Linked DNA regions of Oryzias latipes. The protein of the gene in region 1 purifies or fractionates together with the protein of each later gene. This does not show direct contact. Links are inferred from orthologs where the notes say so. Each region holds a gene or a part of one and is shown on either strand. Other genes may lie near its edges.

Region 1 (4,599 bases):
GCTCTTTTTGGTATCATAAAGTTTTCCAGCAACACAATACATATGGCATAGCATTAAAGGACTAATGTTTTGAACAGTCATTAATTCTTTCTTCAAGTTAAAATAGGTGTGCTTTGTTTTAGCTTTTCCTTGCATGACTCTATAAACAACATGTGTCATTCTGCTCCTACTTTCCACTAATGATACAGGCATATTGCTCAATATTGGTCAAAAATGGTGCTAAGTAACAGTTTGAAAACAAGAAGACTGCTTATATGGATTTATGCAAGATTGCATTACCACCTGCATTAATGTACTGGATCAGATTGGATTGTAAAATGCATGTCTTACCTCCAAGACATTTTGCTGGTTGGGATCCAAAATGAAATGAAATGTCTCATTCCACTTTGGATTGATGTCATTGTCGATATGCTTGGTCCTTTTCCTGCTTTCCGGGGCTGTTGGGATGAACAGCTCCACATATGGATCTGGGGTATCCACTATATACAAACAGAACACATGCTGATTTTTCTCCCTCTTTTTTTGCATGGTTTTAAATGTTTTTAGTCCAAAAAATGCATGCATAGTATTCCACACAATTACACCAAATATTTGAGCTAAAACTTACACAGATCACCCAGCGCTCCTTTGGTGACGTTCTCAGCTCGGACCACTGTCACAGTGAATTTGTGTGAGAACTGTTGTTCCACCTGTGCACAACATCACTCAGTTCAGTTGGGTTTTACCCCTTGTAAATCAAAGAAACCTCAATAAAAACTATACTGGACTACATTACAACCTCCTTTCAATTAAATTAAACTAATTTGTACAAGAGCTCTGTTTTGACTCAACTATAAAAAAGATCATGTTCCATTTACTCTGGAAGACAACATATGGCACTCCTAAAAGGAAATTCAATTCAGCCTTGTCCAAACTGGGCCAATCCTGACAGTTTATTTAGTATGGAGCACGTCTGATACAACAAGACTGTACAAGAGGAAGAAGTAGTAATCATATTTTGGTGGCAGGTCTTGTCATCAGTCTGGGATCATCCAATTGATTGGGTCTTGTGAAATTTTACACAGAACTGAGACTTTCTTGCCACCCAATTCAATCATTTTTATGTTAACGCATTATTTCAAATGTTATGAATTGAAGTAGTAGTGTTTCCTTATATTTAAACCTGCATGTTTAATTAAAAAACAAAATACATTTAATGTTATGCTTTGACGGGTGTTTGTAACTTCTTCTTTCCCAATGCTTGAACATGGTAAATGGCGTATACTTATATACAAGGCCCAAAGCGCTTTACAGTCACAGACCCATTCACCCAGTCACACACATTTACACACTGGTGACGGCTCTGCTGCTGAACACTGGTGCCAACCTCCTACCAGAGGCAAGGTGGGGTTCAGCGTCTTTGACACAGCAAGGACACATTGACTCATGGGCGTGCAAGGCGGGAATCGAACCTGCAATAATATGATCATGGGTCGACCGCCCTACCGCTGCACCAAGGCTGCCCTGGCCCCCACTGCCGCCCCCGCCCCATCACAGCGGAAGTCTTGTTTATTGCGTCAGTGGTATTTATCTAACTCCACAAGGTTTCAGATAACCAAGAACTGTGAAACTAATTGAAATGGAGCAAAGAATGCAATGTGAATGTGAAAATTGAACAAGTAATCTCACATATGAGTTTTAGAACAGCTATCCATCAGCCACTGCTGTAATGAACCTTGTTGCTGTCAAACCATAGCAACTTTAGTCCTTTTTTTCAATCCTCAGCTCACTCCACCGTGTTCTTATCAAACAACTGATTTGCTTTTTGTTGCAACAACTTTAACTATTTACACAAAGTTAAATTCCTGCATTTATAGGGTACTTACAATTATGTTGGAAGCCATTGTATTGTTGGGTAAATATATCTCACGAAACCCTTCAATGAGATGGGCTCTTGAACTCAGGGGATCATCTGTCACTTGAACGATGCATGAAAAACTGGAAGGAGACATGCAAATGAGAATTGAACAGTTCTGCCTGGCCTGTCGACCTCAGAGAGCACATTTTTACACGGAGGTGCAGTCACTACATTAAGGAAAACTTTCCTGAAAGAAAAAACAAACATTTAATTGGGTCTCTATTGAGATATCAGTACAGCATTTTAGAAACAGGAAGTGTGTTTAGCTTCATGCGGGTGATAAGAAGGAAATGTTTATCTAAGTGCGTGTGTATTGCATGCATTACATTCCGTTTCAGAGAGGTGTGTCTATGCTGTGCGTAAAAAGGCTAATTGTAGTAGGATTAATTATCTTTCTTTGCAATGGAGGAAAACATAAATTTGCATGATGCGTCGTAGCTGACTCTCCTCTAAATTCGCCAGAGCGTGTGATTACAGCGCGCACAGAGAGGCACGTAGAGCGTCTGCGCGTTCACAGCAGCGATCACGTAGTTGGCGGCAGAGGTCCAACTTTTAGAAGTGCCAGCTCACCCTGGTTCTGGGAGCAGCGGCACACAATGAGGGGGGCGCCAAGCTCTGTGCGTTTGCCAAAGCAATTTGGAGCACGCCGCGCAGAATTTTCATAGGAGAGAGAAAGGCGCCGACTCCTGCGAGCTGGTCTGATGATGCAAAGCAGTGACGCCTGGAACAAAGCGCACAGTGAAGCCTGCTCAGGTGGAGCTGCAGCACTCCTACCTGAGACGGTCGAGTGAAAAACCAGCTCGGACTACTAGCTCTTTGAATCACAAAAACATTTCCCATGAATTCAGACTGTTGTGCATTTAAGAATAGTAACCGCTTTTTCCGGATTACTAGTCTTACGCACGAATCGGCACCGCGCCAGCAGGTTTCGCCCGAATATAGATGAACAGTCAGTTTTGACTGCAGAAAAATAGAACATTTTGTGCTAAACAGTCTAACAAAATATCCAGAAGCAATAATAAACTGACAAAACTTTAGTAATTCTTCATGAATGCCTGTTTTATTTTGTTCACAGAACTTGAAAATATCAGGCTACTAGTGACGAGTACGAATTAAAGCGACAACTTCAAATCGTTAATTTCCTTTTTTTAAGGGGGGGTCACGTATATAAGTGTCAATTTTCACACAGTTGTAAAGCTTTATCTATCAACAAACAACAACATTCTGTGTTAAGACAAACAATGAAAAGACAACATACCTTTCACAGGCAGTTTTCAACTCACAAATCCAGTTGAATGAGACATTTTCGACCGAACAAGTTCAAGAGATCAGTAGTATCGAATGGACGTCCTTTTGGTCACGTAACGATCAAATTTGCATCAACGGTGGTGGCAGCTACAAGTATTACAAAAACAAAAATTGATATTTTGCAAGAAAATTGTGGACACCACCAAAAAGTCGGGAACGGCGCTGCAGGACAGACTGCTGGCAACGATCGCCTGCCCTCAACTCCAAATGCGCACGAGGGGCCACTTCCACACGTGGGCGTCGTTTGTCTCTTTTCTTAAATGAAGGTTTCCTTTCTTCTTTTTTCGATTCCATTTTATTAGAATAACTTTATAAATCTTTTAGGCATGTCTTTAGCCAGGGGATAATTTAGTATCCTGATTTCAATCCTGAATTTGACTTAAAAAATGTATTTTCAAATGAATGCAACCGCAGAAGTAATTCATATTTTAATTTTATTTGTTTATTATTATTTATTTAGAACGTGAAAAGTTATTATATTTTTTCATCATATTTTGGGTATAAATGTATAGATATTATAAATATGTATTTATGAATGCAAATTTAACCATAAAATTTAATGTATTTCAAATCCTTTTTGTGGAACAAATAGGGGGAAAACATTTATAGTTAATAAATGTAATTTTGTAGAGGAAAAATATTTATTAATCCGTTCTGACATGATAAACATCTCTTCTAGTCTGTGTTAGTGAAAATTAATGAAGAACTCTTCCTTAATAATCTGTTAATGACTTTAGGATTTACGGTTGAATAAACTCGGTGCCACTTTTTAATCAACATGAAATCTATCGTAAAAAAGAACAAACCAGTCACGGAGATGACGGATTATGGATTGCGAAAAATAAAATATTCCGGGGTTCGGAGGGATTACGGATCAAATCCTAAATTGGTGTGAGCGGGTTGGCCGGATGCTCTCCTTGTTTGCTAAACGGTCATTCATAAAACGATGACGTAACTACGTAACTATATAATTGCTGTGCCGAGGAAGCTTGCTCGTTTTCACTCTGAAACACTTGACGTTGGAGGACGGGAGCAAGAGAAGGAAAAAGGAAAACCTTCGAGCAAAAGATCAAACTCAGGAGCATGAACTCACTTAGAGCTGTGCTTCTTCTCTTGGCTTTGGGCGCTTCAGTCTGTGAAGGAGGTAAGAAGATGAGACTTAGAACAGAAACTCCAAGTTTCGCCTGAGCTGGTTTATGACATTTTCATTCGGTTTAGGTTAGAGAAGTAATCATTGTGTTCTATAGGTAATCCGTGTTGCTCATGGCCTTGCCAGAACAGAGGTGTGTGCACAAGTTTGGGTTCAGACAGTTATGAGTGTGACTGCACCCGCACTGGATATTATGGGCAAAACTGCTCAACGCGTAAGTATTTCAACTCTTACAATTTATTTT
Region 2 (3,395 bases), on another chromosome or scaffold:
GTTTAATCCCAGGTGTGGCAGGAATGAGTGAATATTTGTGAACTCTGAGCTCACGCCCCCCCACCTCAGCAAAATATATGGTAAAACTGAGTGTAGGATGATGATTTGAGGCAAAAGTCTCAGTTTCTTCATACAATCAAGGATCTCTACGGTGGTGAGTTGTGCGGCTCACTCATCCTAAAACAAACAAACAGCAGGAAAGTTGGAAAAATGAACTCAGCTGTGTGGGATGTGGGTGTGAACCTCTGCAGTCACACACACAGTCAGAGCCCCGTAACCTAGCAACCACAGTGTTTGCCCTGTAACCACGAACAATGATCAACCGAGATCTGGCCCCCGCCCATAAATGTGTGCACAGAGCTCAGCGAGCGTGCAGACGTTAACCCCTGGGTTTAGTTTTTCCGGCATTCGGTGACCCGCCGCGGGTGGCATGAGTTGCTATGGAATAAGCTGAGCTGGTTGTTTCTTCTCCTTTTGCTTGGATTTCACCAAATCCAGCAAATAACGGATGTTGTGAGAAAATGGAAGGGCTGATCTCCATGTGACTCAGGCCCTCCACATTCTTGCAGTGGGCTGCGACACAGAAGCACATTTCACCGCGTTGCCCAATCTCAGTGTTCCTGAACGCTCCACAAAGCTGAGAGTTTCAACATCAGCTGAGTCAGTCAGCAGATTCCTCAGGGAAATGATAAACAGGACTTTATGGAAGGGAGGGGGCAAGGTTTACCTGCCCTGTCCTCTTTAAAGAGACGCAGTCTCCTGGTCTCAGCTGCAGCTTTAACCAACAGCACATACACACAGACACACACAACAGCTGACAGTCCAGTTTCTTTAATGGATAAAACAATCTTTACAACAAAAATTGAAATGCTTTTGGGTTTCTTCCCATTGTTCTTCACTTCTTCCCTCGCTTCTTCATCTCCATCTGGTAACATTGCTCACAGGCGACCGACAGTCCAACAACCAAAGACACAAACTCCTCAAAGTCCACTTGGCCGTCCCCGTTGGCGTCCAGGTCCTTCATGATCTTGTCTACGGCGGCGGGGTCCTTCTGAGCCTGCAAGAGGTAAAGGAGGGTCAGCCCACAATCCAACCCACAGATTCAGCCCTCTCCTCGCCGGTTTCTGCACCTTGAGGAAGTTGGAGAGCTCGTTCTCCATCAGCTCCCGGAGCTCCCGCCGGTTGAGCTGGTTGTCTTTGGCGTAGCGGTGGAAGACCTTGATGAGGGACTCCATGGCGTTCTCCAGTTCTGAAGGCATGATGCTGGAACGTTCTGAGACTTGAAAAGAGCAGCAGGAAGCGTTGAACATTTTCATCATTTGCTGAGCCATCAAAAAAAGGTTTAAGGAAACTTATGGGGTTTTTTAAGGGGAAAATCTGATTCAAATTTGAGAACATTAACAAAAATAGAATGGCATGGATAGCAATAGAAGGGATATAAAGAAGTAAAAAGTCTGTATGCCACTGTAATCACAGTAATCTTTCTGTAAAAGCATCCAGATGCTTGTTTGTCTTTTGAGGACTGTTTGAAGCCCAGAATGAGAGGGGACAGAAGAAAAGCCCAACACATGTGAAAACATGCCCACAGTCCAACCACACCCTTCCTCACACTCCCTATAGAGGAACCACACAGCAAAGATGCAAAATGTCACAGAAATGGGAAAAAGTGCCACATCGTCTGACGGTTTCCCAACGAACTGCTAAAGTCTGCAGAAATCTGCTGTCAAAAAAGGAAAGTTGTGAAAAAGTTGAATCGTTGACAAGGAAGTCTCAACTAGAAAAGCCCACCACAGATCTAGATCACACAGATCCCTCCTCAAGAACATTCAGGCCGATGGAGCGACAGAAAATCATGAACAACTGGAGACGGAGCAGAACCGTTAGATCTTACCTCACAGGGCAGAGCAGAAGCAGAAGTGCACTGAGGAGGAGTTGAGGAGCAGCAGGAGCAGCAGCAGCTTTATAGGGAGGCGCCGCCCTGACCGCCGCACAGTGACTCACTCAGACTCCACAGGATTGGAGGAAAGCCTCTGGTCACAGAGAGGTCTGACAGTCTTCAAAATAAAAGCAGAAAACTGACTTTTTAAGTCAGACTACAGTTTCCCATCTTTTACTAGAAACACACAGGAACTTCATCTGGACATCAATTTAATGTTAATAAACACAGAATAACTATGACTTTAAAAACACGTATGTCAGCTTCACGGCAGTGAATCATAGAATATATGGAATATCTGCTATCAAACCGCAGACCAACAACACACCCTGGACCGTAAGCAGAAGGAAAGTCCAAACTTCCATTGAATTGTCTGCCTAGATTGATGGCGCCCTCTAGTGGAAACACATCTGTCCATCATGTCTGCTGGAGCGTCCGGCAGGGAACACAGACGCAGATTTGATGAAGGTAAATGAACTTCTTCTCTCCTTTCTGCATCTGTCAGGTCAAGTACTGAGTTTATGGAAATATTTCAATGTAAAAACAGGAAATCCACATCGTTTTTCCGTCTGATTCATAAATGTCTGCAGTGTCGGACCGTCAGTCAGTACTTTAATGACTAAATGAGGCAATGACCAAAGGGTACTTTTTAAACATGGTGGCAATGACAAAGAGAGGATCTATCGATCTAAACCCTACATGTAGAAACAGTTCATCAAGGTGTTCTCTTGTGAATAAATGTGTGTTTGAAGAACGTGTATTGTGTGTGTTTGTGAGCTTCAGCAGGTCGTGTCCATGTGACTCCTGCTGCTGTGGAAACCTTTCAGCAAGCAGGACTCTGGGTTTGGTGAACGGTAAAAGGCGTAGACTGATATAGTGCTTTTTTATCTTCCTCGAAGGCCCAAAGCGCTTTACAGTCACACACAAACATTCACAAACTGGTGGCGGCTCCGCTGCCGAAAGTTGGCGCCAACCTTCCACCATGAGGCAAGGTGGGGTTCGGTTTCTTGTCCAAGGACCGCCCTACCCCTGCACCACAGCCGCCCCATTTGGTTTGGTCTGGAACCGTTAAATAAAATATAAAATAAATAAAGCTCAGACACAAAAGGGATTTGTACAAATATACAATCTGTTTGTCTGAAGATCTATAAATCCCTGCAACACGGATATCACAAACCAAAGCAGGTTTCCATGGAGACTGGAAGGACCCAACAGCTGAAGCAAAAGGCTGGAGAGCAGAGTGGATCTAGAAATCTTTATTTAGCTTGTAGGTTGTATGCTGGGATTAGATCCAAAAAATCTAGAGATGCTTTATCTTTTTAGTATTTAGTTATTTGTTAGTTAGTTGATTATTAATGTTTGACATATTTATTTATTTAGACTGTTTTATTTGAATTAGTTTTTGTAATTGTGGTAAGTCTGCGTCTTAAAAAATATATTTTTAAATTTCTGGTTTCTG

The links.
Region 2: the proteins of pla2g4a (region 1) and protein S100-A10 purify together in Homo sapiens (affinity purification with western blotting; 3 studies listed by BioGRID). This does not show direct contact. The link is inferred for Oryzias latipes from reciprocal best matches to the Homo sapiens genes PLA2G4A and S100A10.

The regions. Positions count from the first base shown.
Region 1 is NC_019862.2:15,083,522-15,088,120, reverse strand, and holds the start of pla2g4a (cytosolic phospholipase A2), read right to left. Parts: upstream 3,096-4,599; 5' UTR 2,468-3,095; intron 1,978-2,467; 5' UTR 1,884-1,977; coding exon 1,866-1,883; intron 690-1,865; coding exon 608-689; intron 480-607; coding exon 331-479; intron 1-330. UniProt on the Homo sapiens protein: Has primarily calcium-dependent phospholipase and lysophospholipase activities, with a major role in membrane lipid remodeling and biosynthesis of lipid mediators of the inflammatory response.
Region 2 is NC_019869.2:1,216,063-1,219,457, reverse strand, and holds protein S100-A10, read right to left. Parts: upstream 1,938-3,395; 5' UTR 1,892-1,937; intron 1,280-1,891; 5' UTR 1,260-1,279; coding exon 1,131-1,259; intron 1,058-1,130; coding exon 896-1,057; 3' UTR 816-895; downstream 1-815. UniProt on the Homo sapiens protein: Because S100A10 induces the dimerization of ANXA2/p36, it may function as a regulator of protein phosphorylation in that the ANXA2 monomer is the preferred target (in vitro) of tyrosine-specific kinase.